Linked DNA regions of Drosophila melanogaster. The protein of the gene in region 3 purifies or fractionates together with the protein of the main gene of each other region. This does not show direct contact. Each region holds a gene or a part of one and is shown on either strand. Other genes may lie near its edges.

What was found.
Region 1: the proteins of Lst8 (region 3) and CG8654 purify together in Drosophila melanogaster (affinity purification with mass spectrometry, with the first as the bait; one large-scale study listed by BioGRID). This does not show direct contact.
Region 2: the proteins of Lst8 (region 3) and SPE purify together in Drosophila melanogaster (affinity purification with mass spectrometry, with the first as the bait; one large-scale study listed by BioGRID). This does not show direct contact.

The regions. Positions count from the first base shown.
Region 1 is NT_033778.4:19,976,921-19,981,216, reverse strand, and holds the start of CG8654 (uncharacterized protein), read right to left. Parts: upstream 1,976-4,296; 5' UTR 1,908-1,975; intron 678-1,907; exon of another isoform or gene 396-677; intron 341-395; exon of another isoform or gene 1-340.
Region 2 is NT_033777.3:23,683,843-23,688,138, reverse strand, and holds the start of SPE (Spatzle-Processing enzyme), read right to left. Parts: upstream 1,885-4,296; 5' UTR 1,854-1,884; coding exon 1,778-1,853; exon of another isoform or gene 1,602-1,777; intron 1,428-1,601; coding exon 1,035-1,427; intron 819-1,034; coding exon 509-818; intron 449-508; coding exon 25-448; 3' UTR 1-24. Other genes in the region: CG18754 (uncharacterized protein), read right to left, coding at 2,263-2,659, 2,725-2,958, 3,434-3,755, 4,010-4,082; CG16710 (uncharacterized protein), read right to left, coding at 4,255-4,296.
Region 3 is NC_004354.4:9,603,895-9,607,494, forward strand, and holds Lst8 (Lst8), read right to left. Parts: upstream 2,076-3,600; 5' UTR 1,982-2,075; coding exon 1,868-1,981; intron 1,812-1,867; coding exon 984-1,811; 3' UTR 260-983; downstream 1-259. Other genes in the region: Gga (Golgi-localized, gamma-adaptin ear containing, ARF binding protein), read left to right, coding at 1-119; LysRS (Lysyl-tRNA synthetase), read right to left, coding at 2,579-2,659, 2,726-3,600. UniProt on the Drosophila melanogaster protein: Subunit of TORC1 and TORC2, which regulate cell growth and survival in response to nutrient and hormonal signals. Essential for TORC2-mediated regulation of cell growth and phosphorylation of Akt1.

The DNA.
Region 1 (4,296 bases), on a different chromosome or scaffold from region 3:
ATTCTATTTATATTAAGTAATCGGAACTTTTCGGGGGCTTGTCTACCGCCCGAGTTATATAACTCAGCAAGTTGATTGATAATACTCTGTTCGCAATCTCGCACTTTTTGAACTACGTCTGGTGGGCTTCGACGCTCTACTATCAATGGCAGAAAAATCTCATCTTGTCTCGCCGGATGAGAAAAGCAACTGAGATGGCGATAAAGTCGTGTGTACTTTAATCCCAGATGATAAGAGGCGTTCGACAAGCGTCGCGAATATGACAAATAATGCCAAATGCCCTGAACTTCTGGCCAACTTGTGCGAGATAACACGTATATATTGTTTACCTGCAGAAAGCCTTTGGGCAAATGTTAATCATATAATCAGTTGAGCACACATTCAGCTTAGCCTACCTTATAGCTCCTGTATTCCAAAATAGATGATGTTTTGTATAAATTAATAGAGATGTCTCGCCGTGAATCCGATAGCTGATCACAATGAAATCCAAACATAATCACGCAGTGTTCATCAGTTTAGCACGCGTTTATCAAACTCCAAAATGTTTGGTTTACCCATGATATTGAAAGTCCAAATATCAATAAAGCGAGTCGCATTGTTGACTTATTTGGCAAGACGATAATTGAGTATAATTTTAGTAATATTTTTAGTTCCTAAACGTTTCCTGTAGATACAAACTTTTGATTTGTGCAAATCAACTTATTAATATGTTAAGGTAATAAATTATCCTAAAAAGACACATTTTAATTACACGTGACTAATTTTTAAAAGATGTATTGATGTTAAGAGCTACCAGTTCAGTAATGTATTAATATAGTATATATTAACGATGTGTTGTATATTTTGTATGAGTCACATGCTATTTTGAAGTTGAGAATTCCACCAAATATTTACTATACCCTTTATTAATATTATTTATTTATTTATTTAAATCTGAAACTAAAATTTCAAGGCCCAGCCGATATACTGTGTATTTGCGAAACTAAATCCATTTAAATGGCCCCGTTTAATATTTACATTTGGTGGGCTGACAAGTGTTCTAAGCCGATTTCAGTGCCCCGAATGGGCCGGCAAGCGGACTGTTTGGGCCAGATATTTTCCAGGGGATATATATATGGCCCGGCAACGCTCCAATTAGCACACAAAAGGATTACAGGGGAAATGCCAAATTTCTGGCGCTGCACAGAGAAGCACTTGGCAAGGCCAACAAATGTTTTGGGCCGGCTTTGGAGCGCTTTGCGGTTTTTCTTCCATAATTGCCGAACGGGCTAGGTCCGAACAGGCCAGGTCCGAGCTGAACTGAACTGAAGTGGACAGTGGTCGAGTGGACGAGGATTGCGAGGAATCCACTTGAGGTCCAGCGAGCAAATCAAGCGGCAGGCATTTAATTTCAAACTGCCCCCTCATCCGAACACACCATGGTGCAATCAAAATATTTTATAGGTTGGCCATAAAGAAATTCATAAAGCGAACGGCAGCAGCAGAATCAGCAGCAACTGCAACTCTGCCAATTCATACGAAAATTGCTAACTCAGCGCTCACATATATCATTTTTATGCGCGGCCACGCCCCTTTCAGCTCGTAGTAAATTGACAAATGCAGCGCGCCAAGTCTGTGAGATGTCTTTGCCACTATTTAAGGTCTTTCACGAGGGGATCGAGGTGGAGTTGGAGGTGGAGCTGGATGCTGCATGGCAATGAAAAAGCGCACCGAAAACTATGAGCAACGCTTAGCGAAATAAAAGTGCTTGTAATATGTAGTTAAAATCCAAGTAAGGCGATTAATGCGAGAGCATGGCGACTGGGAGATGCTCTCCAATGATTATCTCAGAAACGAAATAGATAAATATTTAGTGAATTTTAAGACTTCTAATAACAAGGTAGAGAAATTTCAAGCGGAAAACTTACCTGTGCCAAGACTAGCTCCTTTCTGGATCAGCACTTCACACCTGCCAAGTGTTCGCTTCCAACTGCGAAAAATCAATATACTCACCTTACTTTATAAATGGAAAAATTGCCAAACCACCCTTGAAGCAGAAACACACCTTAACCTGCCTGTTTACTTATCGAGCATCTGCCTGTCTGTCTCACTGCAATTAGCTACCTGAGTGAAGGGAAAATGCATCAAAGTGTTTGAAAGTAATGAAAGTACGTGTTTCATTCATTAGAATTATAAAAGTATGCCACACCATATGATTAATAATATGGATACTCGTACACTTTTTGTATCGTACACTATTATATCATCTTCTTTACTTTATTAGCTTAGATTGCTGAAATGCCCAGTCTGAGATTGCAGGGTATGCGTTGTGAGAAGAAGCAGCTAGAAACAAAGAGCCGCATCAACGGTTTTGGCTCTGGTTGCCTTGGCTTTTTACCCCGTCCGTCCTCTGTAATCGCCCCTTAGTTCTTCTCTAAATCCTCTTTGATTAAGTGCTCAGTCTTTTATGTGGAGATTTTTTAATCGTTACCTCGTCCTCCCAGCAACGAGGAGGACCGCAGTCCGCAGTCTGTTGTCCGAAGGGCGTCCATGTGACCATGCCCCGTAGATTAATCGCTAATCTGTCCCTAGAGGGCGTACTGACATTTTTAAAAACTGCGCACTGTCCAGCAGAGCCAAGGAAGCTGCCTCATGGCTGTCCACTTCATCCCGGGCCATTTGAAGATGTCTTTGGTTTTTATTGTCGGACGGCACTTGGGCACTTCCATCATTCCCATTCCCATTCCCGTTCTCGTTTTCTTTCGAGGATCCGTAGGACTCGCATTCGGACCACGATTCGCACCTCTTATTCAGTGCCTTTTCAGCCGCCCTTTTTGGCTTTATAAATAAATTAATAAATTTTAGCCAGCATTAATTATTGTGCTGCTTGGTCGGGTGCGCAGATTAATGTTTTAATTTCGCTAGCCTAGGCTTCGATTAATTTATGCGCGCCCTGTTTGCAATTTGTGCGCCATTTTTTGAGTAATTTCGCCTGGCCGGGGGCGATAAAGTGCATTAACATGGAATGCGGCTGCCGCTGCGGGCAGCTAAAATTGTTAATTTCGAAGCATCATAAAACGCGGCGATATGTTGCAGTTTCGTTGCCGGGCCCCTTTCAATTTACACTGGACGAACTAGCCGGTCGTCCTAATGTGTGTCACATAAATCAGCGGACGGCTCATCCAATGCGGCTGCCCATTTCGGTGGTTTCGGGGCTAGGGATTAATCCCAGAAGCTGGTGGGGTTGATGATGAGCGGTCTGCCAACACTTCACAGATTGATGAGTGACCTGATCATTAGTTGTTGGCCGACTAGGTCGTTGCTGCTTAATCGGTTGAATACTTCGTTAAGACCAGATTAAATTCAGGTTTTTATCGCACTTAAGTCATTTATACACTAATCACTTTCAGGAAAAGTATTAGGTTACCCATTAAACAATTTTTAGTTAATGAGCTTTATACCTATGAAGAACCATTTATCCAGCTTACTAAATATGGAAGTAGAAACAGTATGACTACTAGTTCAGGGTTCATAGAAACTTTTGGTTTTTCAAGGTACATATGTAGGTATCGGTTCTAATGAATTTGATGGCCAGCAGCCTTGTCGGGCCTTGTGTTACCTGATTTACGCGTGACGGGCACGCAAATCGAGGCGTTTAATTTCCGCCGCCGACAGCAGTTCTCACCGCAGCCTGTCAGTCAGCTGGGCAGCTGTCATAATACCGCTCAGCGAACCACCACCCACGACCGCCGATGACCTCCGACCCAGGAGTACTGATTCTCGGGGCTGTGGCAACATCAACCTCTTGGATGGCAGTAGACCAAAAGGTAAATAAACCCCTTGCCAGGGCCGCAGCTTTATGCATAATTAGCTTTTGCCGAGCGAAACACTGGCTCCGTGCGAATGTTGCAAAGTTTTAATTTATGCCTAGGTTGGCGGGAGGAATCGGTTATAGTTTGCCGTTCAGTTTGCTTTACAAACTGCATAAGCAAACATATTTTAATTTAAGGTTGTGTTTACATGCCGCTCTGTGGCACGCTTCAAGTCACACAACACGGCAGCAGGAAGCACTACTACAGCAACAGAAACAATAATAAGGACAGGACCTAGGACAACGGAAATAACAGGATCAGCAAGCCCACCCAACACTCGGCTACAAAAAGAAATCTCAGAGCAGTTCTGTAGTAGTTCGGCAAAGCTCAGATGTTAAATAAATAAACAATCTAATTTAAAGTACCCAAAATGTGTGCTGATTTTCTAACTGTAAATGGAGAAGCGTTTATATTTTCTAAACCTTTAGCTTGTTGATCAGTGTTC
Region 2 (4,296 bases), on a different chromosome or scaffold from region 3:
ATCATGTATTTAAGTATGTATTCATCATGGCTCCAATTTCTGCTTTATCCAATCGATGAAAGCCCCCGTGCGGGTATAGACGCCGGGCCATCCCTTGAGGCCGCAGGGCTTCGTCCCGTAGGAGGTGACGCCGGCAATGTAGAAGACATCCCGGCCGCCCGTGGATATAGGCACCATAAGGGGACCGCCGGAATCGCCACCGCATGTATCCACGCCCAACTGGCCGCCGGCACACATCTGAGAATCGTCCAGTTTCACCTTGAAGCTGGAGTACTTTTCCTGACAACTCGTTAGGTTCCAAACGTTGACGGTGATCTTCAGCTTGATCGCACTTGGCTGCATGTTCTCGGTAAGTCCCCAGCCGGCCACATCCATGCCGTAGTCCACAAAGTTGTTTTGGACTAAACCATCCGTGGGAAGGCATATTGGACGCACGTAGTCGGTGTAGCTGTGGCAAAAACAAAAAAGCAAGTCAGTGGAATAATTGAGGGATCTCTGGACCACATACCTAACAATCCTCTTAAGGCGCACCAACGCAATGTCATTACGCTGATCAACGGAATTGGGAGCATACATCTCGTGGATGATGCCCTTCTCGACCTCAATGTCGATGTGTTTCGGTGCACAGATGCGCTGTCCGTTCATCTGGGTGGTGCAGTCAGGATCGGTACGAGTGTCCCACTCCCCCAGGCGAACGCTGTGTAGAACGGCACCGGATTTGTCCAGTTCTCGGCTGGCCAGGCAGTGTCCAGCGGTCAGGACGTAGCGCGAGTTGAGCAATGCACCGCCGCAGTTGAAAGTGTAGGTTTCAGAAAAAACTGAAAGGATAAAGAGCGTTTCCCAAGTACATATTATAAATTGATTAGATACTAATAATAGCCTTGTATATATTGAATATGCGTTTTCTTATAATGATGATCCCCCCATTGGAGAATTTGATTTGAAAAAGTGATTAAAAAATGATTACAGGTGACCTCGTGAAACAACCTTCCTATAAGAGATTAAAATAGAGCCTGGGTAGGTAATCTACTCACGTTTTTTGTACTGCAGCAATACCATCCATGGGAATTCCCAGAGGGTCGTATTGGTGCCCCCGAAAATGCGATCAGCGAAAAGGAAGCCGCAGACGTCATTTCCAGGCAGCACATCCCCCTGCTGCAGTGCATCCCTCGTCGAAGGAGTTGGTTCCGAGTCCATGATATTGCCCCGCATGCTCTGCGGACAGCAGACCAGGATTCGATTCACCAAGCCCTCAACCCTGTTGTCCAGGCCACACTGGCTCTTGGAGAGAAGGATTCGCTGGGCGGGAGTCTTTGGCTCCACCATCAGCAGGTTGGCCAGGTAGGGGCAGCTGGTGATGTGAACGCACTGGCCGCGCTCATCGCTCTGCTGGGGCGTACAACTGCCAAAGCTGATCTCCGCTGCGTCTGGAAGAGAAGAGCGCGATTTACGATGCAGTCTAACCGGTTCTGAACCAATCCATTAAAGGCAATCCATTCTACTAATGGACTTCATGTCTAATATTTCTCATAAAATTTCTTAGTCCGGGAAACTATATGTTGATATTTAATATATTTGAAGTTTTCAAAAACTCTTTGATTATTAGTTGTTATGGTTTTTATTCTCACAATCAACAAGGTCAAGTGCTTAGTTTTTCTAGCTTTATTCAAACTATATACTATACTATACTATATATATAGAACTATATACTTTTGAAAGAAGCACCATTGCATCCAGTTGCTGTGGATATTGTTTGCCCAAAGGACAGCTTACCCACCTGATCGATGGACCAAGCCGGATAATGCGCTGACCACCAGTGACAGTAGCAGAAAATTCCGTTCCGTAGAAGCCATCTCGTCGCTATGGGCTCCAAGCTGATACTAACCAAGCTGTCCGGCAGTTTCGCTGTCACCGATTCTCTCCCGATGCATTGGGCGTGATTAGCAGAGGTTATCTCCGGACTCAATACCATCTAGATTGCAACAAAGGCAAAAGCTATGTGAATAGGGTGGTCTTTCCCTGCCTTAATATTTACATAGTAGTTCTGCTGAGCTGGGCAAACCCAGCGGTGTAGTTATTAGAAATTTATTTATGCTTAATCTTCTCTCGGCACGTTATGTTTTTTGAACAACACGTTTTTTAAAAAACAATCTTCAGTGCTTTTTCTTATCTTTTGGGGTTTTATAGGTCTATTACTTTATAGTAGTGGATTAATGGAACAGATGCTATTCCAATTTTGCAAATATGAATTCTTTATTAAAATTAGGGAGCCAAATTCGCTTTGATCCACTCCGAAAAGTGGCCAATTTTTGTGTAAACACCTGGAATACCAGCAGAGTAGCAATATTGTTGTCCATATGAGGCAATGCCTGCCAAAAAGACGAACTCGTCGACGCCGCTTCCCATGATGCCCATTACCGGACTGCCGGAGATGCCCGCACAGGTGTCCCCTTTCCGTTGACCACCGGCGCATACTTGGGACGCGGAGCGAAAGCTGGGATACCTATTCAAGCAATCAGCAGGATTCCTTTCCTTGACCGTGCTGGTGATCAACGTTTGACTGCTTTTAGTCGGATCCCAGCCAGAGATTTGCAAATTCAAATCCTGTAGGGGAAATTCGGCGTCCAATAGACAAATGGGTTGGATCTTTTTCGTGTATCTAGCGGGTTTGTAAAGAAATTTCCATAAGATGTGGAGATTAGGGTGGAGATCACTGCTACTCACCGCACTGGGAATTGCAATCGGAGGAGGGCGATGTCGTTGCGGTAAGTTCCGCCACTCGAAGTGAAACCCTGATGTACTGTTGTTTGCCCCACCTCCACATCCAAATGTGGACACCTGCTTTCCGAGGTGATGCAGTCGGTAGTGGACTCGCCCAGGCGCACACTCTTCAGAACCAGGTCATTCTGCGTCAAGTAACCACCGATCACGCAGTGGGCAGCGGTCAGCACATAGCGACTGTAAAATCCCAAATGAGAAGACTTTACTCGTTGAGTTTTTGTAAGAAACTAATTTTATTTGGAAATATCTTCGGTTTAAATAGGTGACATGAGAATCGCATCTTAAAGTAAATGGCCTACGCAGAGGCCTAAGTAAATAGTCCCCGCCTTATCGAGGTCCCACGCTCGGGCACATCTGCCTATCTTGAGCGGCGAGGACCTTATCTGTGGTCTCCCACTAAGGGACTATTTTAGGAGGCGGGGAAAGATCTCAAGTGACTGACTCATGTAGTGTGCACTTAAATTACATGTTTTTGAGCAATGCACCCATGTCGCCTTAGATAACAAAATCCTAAATATAATTTATCGCTCTCGATTCATTTACATAAGATATGAACGGAGCCCAAAATTGTAAGTCTTTAAATATATTCGTGTTCATGTGTGAACAGCGACTGTTGATCAGTGAGCCCGCACAACCAGTTCGTTGATTCCACATCAAGGATAGCCGATTCTCATATAACAGCAATACCATCCAAGGGTACTCATTAAGCTCTGCATTCTCGGCACCCCGATCTCGGAACACGGGCGTCGTTTGTCCACAGGTCTGTTTGTTGGGCAAGACGTCACCCAACTCTGGGCAGCAGACATAAACCATGTGCAACAACTCGTGTCCATTGGGGTCCAGGCCACACTGCCTGTGTGCAAACACATCTTTCTCCGCCTGGGTCATGCCCCGGGGCCTAAGGATGTTCATAAGCGGCGAGCAGCTAACCAGTCTGGTGCATTTCTCATCCTTTTGGCAGCTTGATAACCGAACTATAAATTACAAAAATAGATAAGTGAAAGCCCCGATAAAGTATAGCAGTACGAGTCTATGTGGAAATATTATTATTATTATTATTTTTGAATATGATTTATAATAAAACGGATCGATGGATATGATAATTTTTATAATTCATGGGGTCGAACGTGACCTATTCACAGCACACATCCTCTGCAAGGATATTATTGAGCAAGATATAACATCTTCGGTTTTTTACGAAAACTTAAAAATCATTGCTTTTGCTTACCACACTCAGCCAATTGGTTGAAGAAAATGGCCTGGAGAAGGACCAAAATATAAACTTTACGTCTGTCCGACATGCTAGACATCCAAACTCGATCTGACACTAAATATACAGAATAAAATGGATCAACAAACTCATAAATCCCAATGACTCAATGAAATTTCCTAATTTATTTTTGCGATAATTTGGGCTCAGTGCCGGACAATAAATATTTCTTTTCTTAACCAAATTCTACTATTTTGATTATTTCATTGGAATATATTAGTGTACATGTTCCATAGAATCCATTC
Region 3 (3,600 bases):
TGCTAAATCCGACAGGCAAGGCCGTGGACGTAACATGCATTGTGGGCTACAAGCTGGGCGACGATCCGGATCCCATCAAGGAATCGATTGTGGCCAAAGGCATTGACTATGTGGACTAAAATACCCCGACATATAAGTATCACCCGCTCCCGTCCACTGAAAGCGCAGGAGGAAAATGAAAAGAACGAAAGACAGTCAATTTTCCCGCATCTATGTTGTGCTCCCCATTATCTTAAAGATACTTTTGGTTTTTCAATTTCTGTATTGTATGTGTATGTACGCTGATAAGATTTTTATTCAAATTGCATTTTGCATACAAACGATTTAGTCGTAATATAATTATGTATCAAAGGTTTATAAATTATGAAAAAGTCGCTACAAAAGCCAAGCGCTCATTTTCAGAGGTATTCTCATTAATCTGTTCAATTGTTGTGTGGATGTTGTTTTAGTTGATGCTTCAGTTCAGTTCAGTTGTCGTGTTGCCCATATATGGATTCATTGCTACTCTCCCCACTGTTTCAAAAAATGCCAAATTATTTGTTCCTGGCGGATTGTCTCGCTGGGTTGGCGGTTTTGCGGATGATTGTACATCTGAGATATTTGTTGATTTAACTGGCTTAAGATAGATCGTAATTAAGTTCGGAAGTGAATTAATGAGCACTGCTGGCAGTTTTTCAAACATTAAGGATATCAATTTTTTTGAGACTATGAATTACCATTTTATATATATGCATCTAATTGGGAAACGTAAGCTGAACTAAAACATTGAGTCTAATTAAGAGTAGAAACTAAAACCGCGATGCTTAACAAACCATTACAATTGCCATTCATTTTGTGTGGACTTAAGCCAGCTAATTGGTAGAATGACTAAAACTAGTAGGCCAATCTTTGGGGAAAGCCAAATGAAAATCCGCCACCAGGAGCCACTTACAAAGTGCCTAGACTCTAGCCGCTAGCTACTACTACTACTACTACAACTACTGCTATTTGCCCACGATCTCGTCCTTGAAGGACAGGGCAGTGATGGCCTTGGTGTGACCAGTATAATCCCTAATCGAACTCTTTGTCTGCAGCTTCCACAGTCGTGCAATGCCGTCGGATGAGGCTGTGAACAGCCATTTAGAATCGGCGCTAAAGGCGGCATCCCACACCCAATAGTTCTCGATGCACAGCTCGCGCCATTTGCTAAAGTCATCCGTCTTCCAAATGCACACAGTGCCATCGCCGGATGTCGTCAGCAGTAGCCTGGAATCGGGACTGAATTTGCAGCGCAGTATGTAGCGAGAGTGGGCCGGAATTTTCCTGTTCGGCCGCAGCGTGCTCATCTTCTGATCCTGACTGGTCAGCGACCAGATGTAGCAGTTGCCCTTGTTATTGGCCGCCGCCAAGTATCTGCCATCCGGCGAGATGGCAACATCCTGAATGGATGCGTCCACCTCGGGCACGATGCGTTCGTGCCGCTCCGACTTGACGTCCCACAGAAAGACGCTGCCATTTTGTGAGCCCATGGCGATCTCCACCTGGTTGGGATGCAAACAGGCGGCATTTACCGGCGCCTCACAATCAAAGATCCGGGAACAGTGTGGCGGTGCGGCAATCATGTCCCAGATCCGCACGTGATGATCCTCGCCGGCGGTGAACATCCAATTGCCGTCCTCTTGGAAGCCAAGTCGCGTCACATTCTTTTGCACGCCATCGAAATTGATCACCGGTGCGGTGCAGTTGGACTCCAGGTCGTACAGCCGGATGCACTGGTATCCGCACGCCGCCAGTCGCGTCTTATCCGGTGTCCTGTCTAGCGCATTCACTTGCTGCAAGTTAAAGCATGTTCGTTAACCGGAAAATGCACGAATCGGTTTATTCCTACCGAGGTCTCCACGAATCTCATCGTCTTAATGCAGTTGCCCGTGTGCGCCTGCCACACCTTAATGGTGTGGTCATAACCACCGGTGGCCAGGATCAGCTGCTGTTGGTCCCCCATCCTGTGATTGCACAGATTAATTGACAATTTCCGCGTTTTTTTGCCCCAATGTTTTCATTTCACCAGACCTATCGGTCCATTGGTCCTCGATACGCGCCTATCGCGCTTATCGATAAGTGGCGCGGTGCTGGTAAGCGCGAAAATATATTCTTATTAGAATAAAACCTAAAGCGCAGCAACAAAATCGTTTTCAAAAAACACTATTAATTGATATCAGTATAATTTTAGGTTTTATTACAAAAATGCGTACTGATTTACATATCAAGTCTTTCTTTTATCCGCATAAATAATCATTAGATTAGATATAACACAAAAATTATGTCAAATCAAAAAAATTTTAACTGAAAAATTTTGATAATTTACGGTACCTGGTTTATATAATCGAGATATTTTCCATATAAAGTATTATAGAATTATCTTAATAATATTTATTATCCCAAAACTCGGACATTAGCAGAAAATAAAAAAAAGAAACTGACGCAGCTTTGGTTATTGGGAAAAATGTTTATTGGTTGAATAACTTAGCAACTGGGATTAGTCCGGGACCAGCGTAACGTACAAGGATTGGGTCTGAGTGGAGTGAGCGGCGTTGGCCATCTACTGCTGTGCGGTGGGAGCAGTTTCCGCTGCCGTGCGGTTGGCATCCTCCGGTTTCATGGCGGGGAACAGCAGAACCTCCTACAAAAAAAAAGAAGCCTCATTTAGCAACGCTTGCAATAAGTTAAAGACCAAGTGTAGACCCACCTTGATGTTGTTGGAGTCCGTGAGGAACATGGCCAGGCGATCGATGCCCATGCCAAAACCACCGGTGGGCGGCAGTCCGTACTCCAGGGACGTGCAGAAGTTCTCGTCGACCAGCTGGGCCTCATCATCGCCGGCCGCCTTGTCGCTGGCCTGCTGCTCGAAACGCTCGCGCTGCACAACCGGATCGTTCAACTCGGTATACGCGTTGCAAATCTCCTTCTTGGCCACAAACAGTTCGAAGCGCTCCGTCAGGCCGGGAATACTGCGATGGTACTTGGCCAGCGGCGACATGATCTGCGGATGCTCACAGATGAACGTTGGATTCACGCAAAACTCCTCGATGAATTCGCCGACGAGCTTGTCCAGCAGGCGGGCAGTGGTGCGCGGAGCTGGGCACTCGACCTGGTGCTTAGCGCACAGCTGAGACAGGAACTGATTCGTCTCTGGCGAATTGAAGGTGTCGGCCGCGGGGAACTTCACCTGCAGCTTCTCTTCCAGCGTTTTGATCATGGATACGCGCTTAAAGGGCGGCGTAAAGTCAAGTTCTTGCTCAGGTCCCTCTGGACCCTCCGGATGATAGATGACCTTGTAGGAGCCACGGATCGCTTTCACCATTCCCGAGACCAACTGCTCGGTGATATCCATAATGTCAGCGTAGTCGGCATACGCCATGTAGAACTCGCACGTGGTGAATTCAGGATTGTGGGTGAGGTCGATGCCCTCGTTGCGGAACTGCCGTCCGATCTCGTACACACGATCGAGTCCACCCACCACCAGCATCTTGTGATACAGCTCCGGAGCAATGCGCATGAACAGATCCATCTTGAGGTCATTGTGATGCGTCACGAAGGGCTTGGCAGTGGCTCCACCGGCGA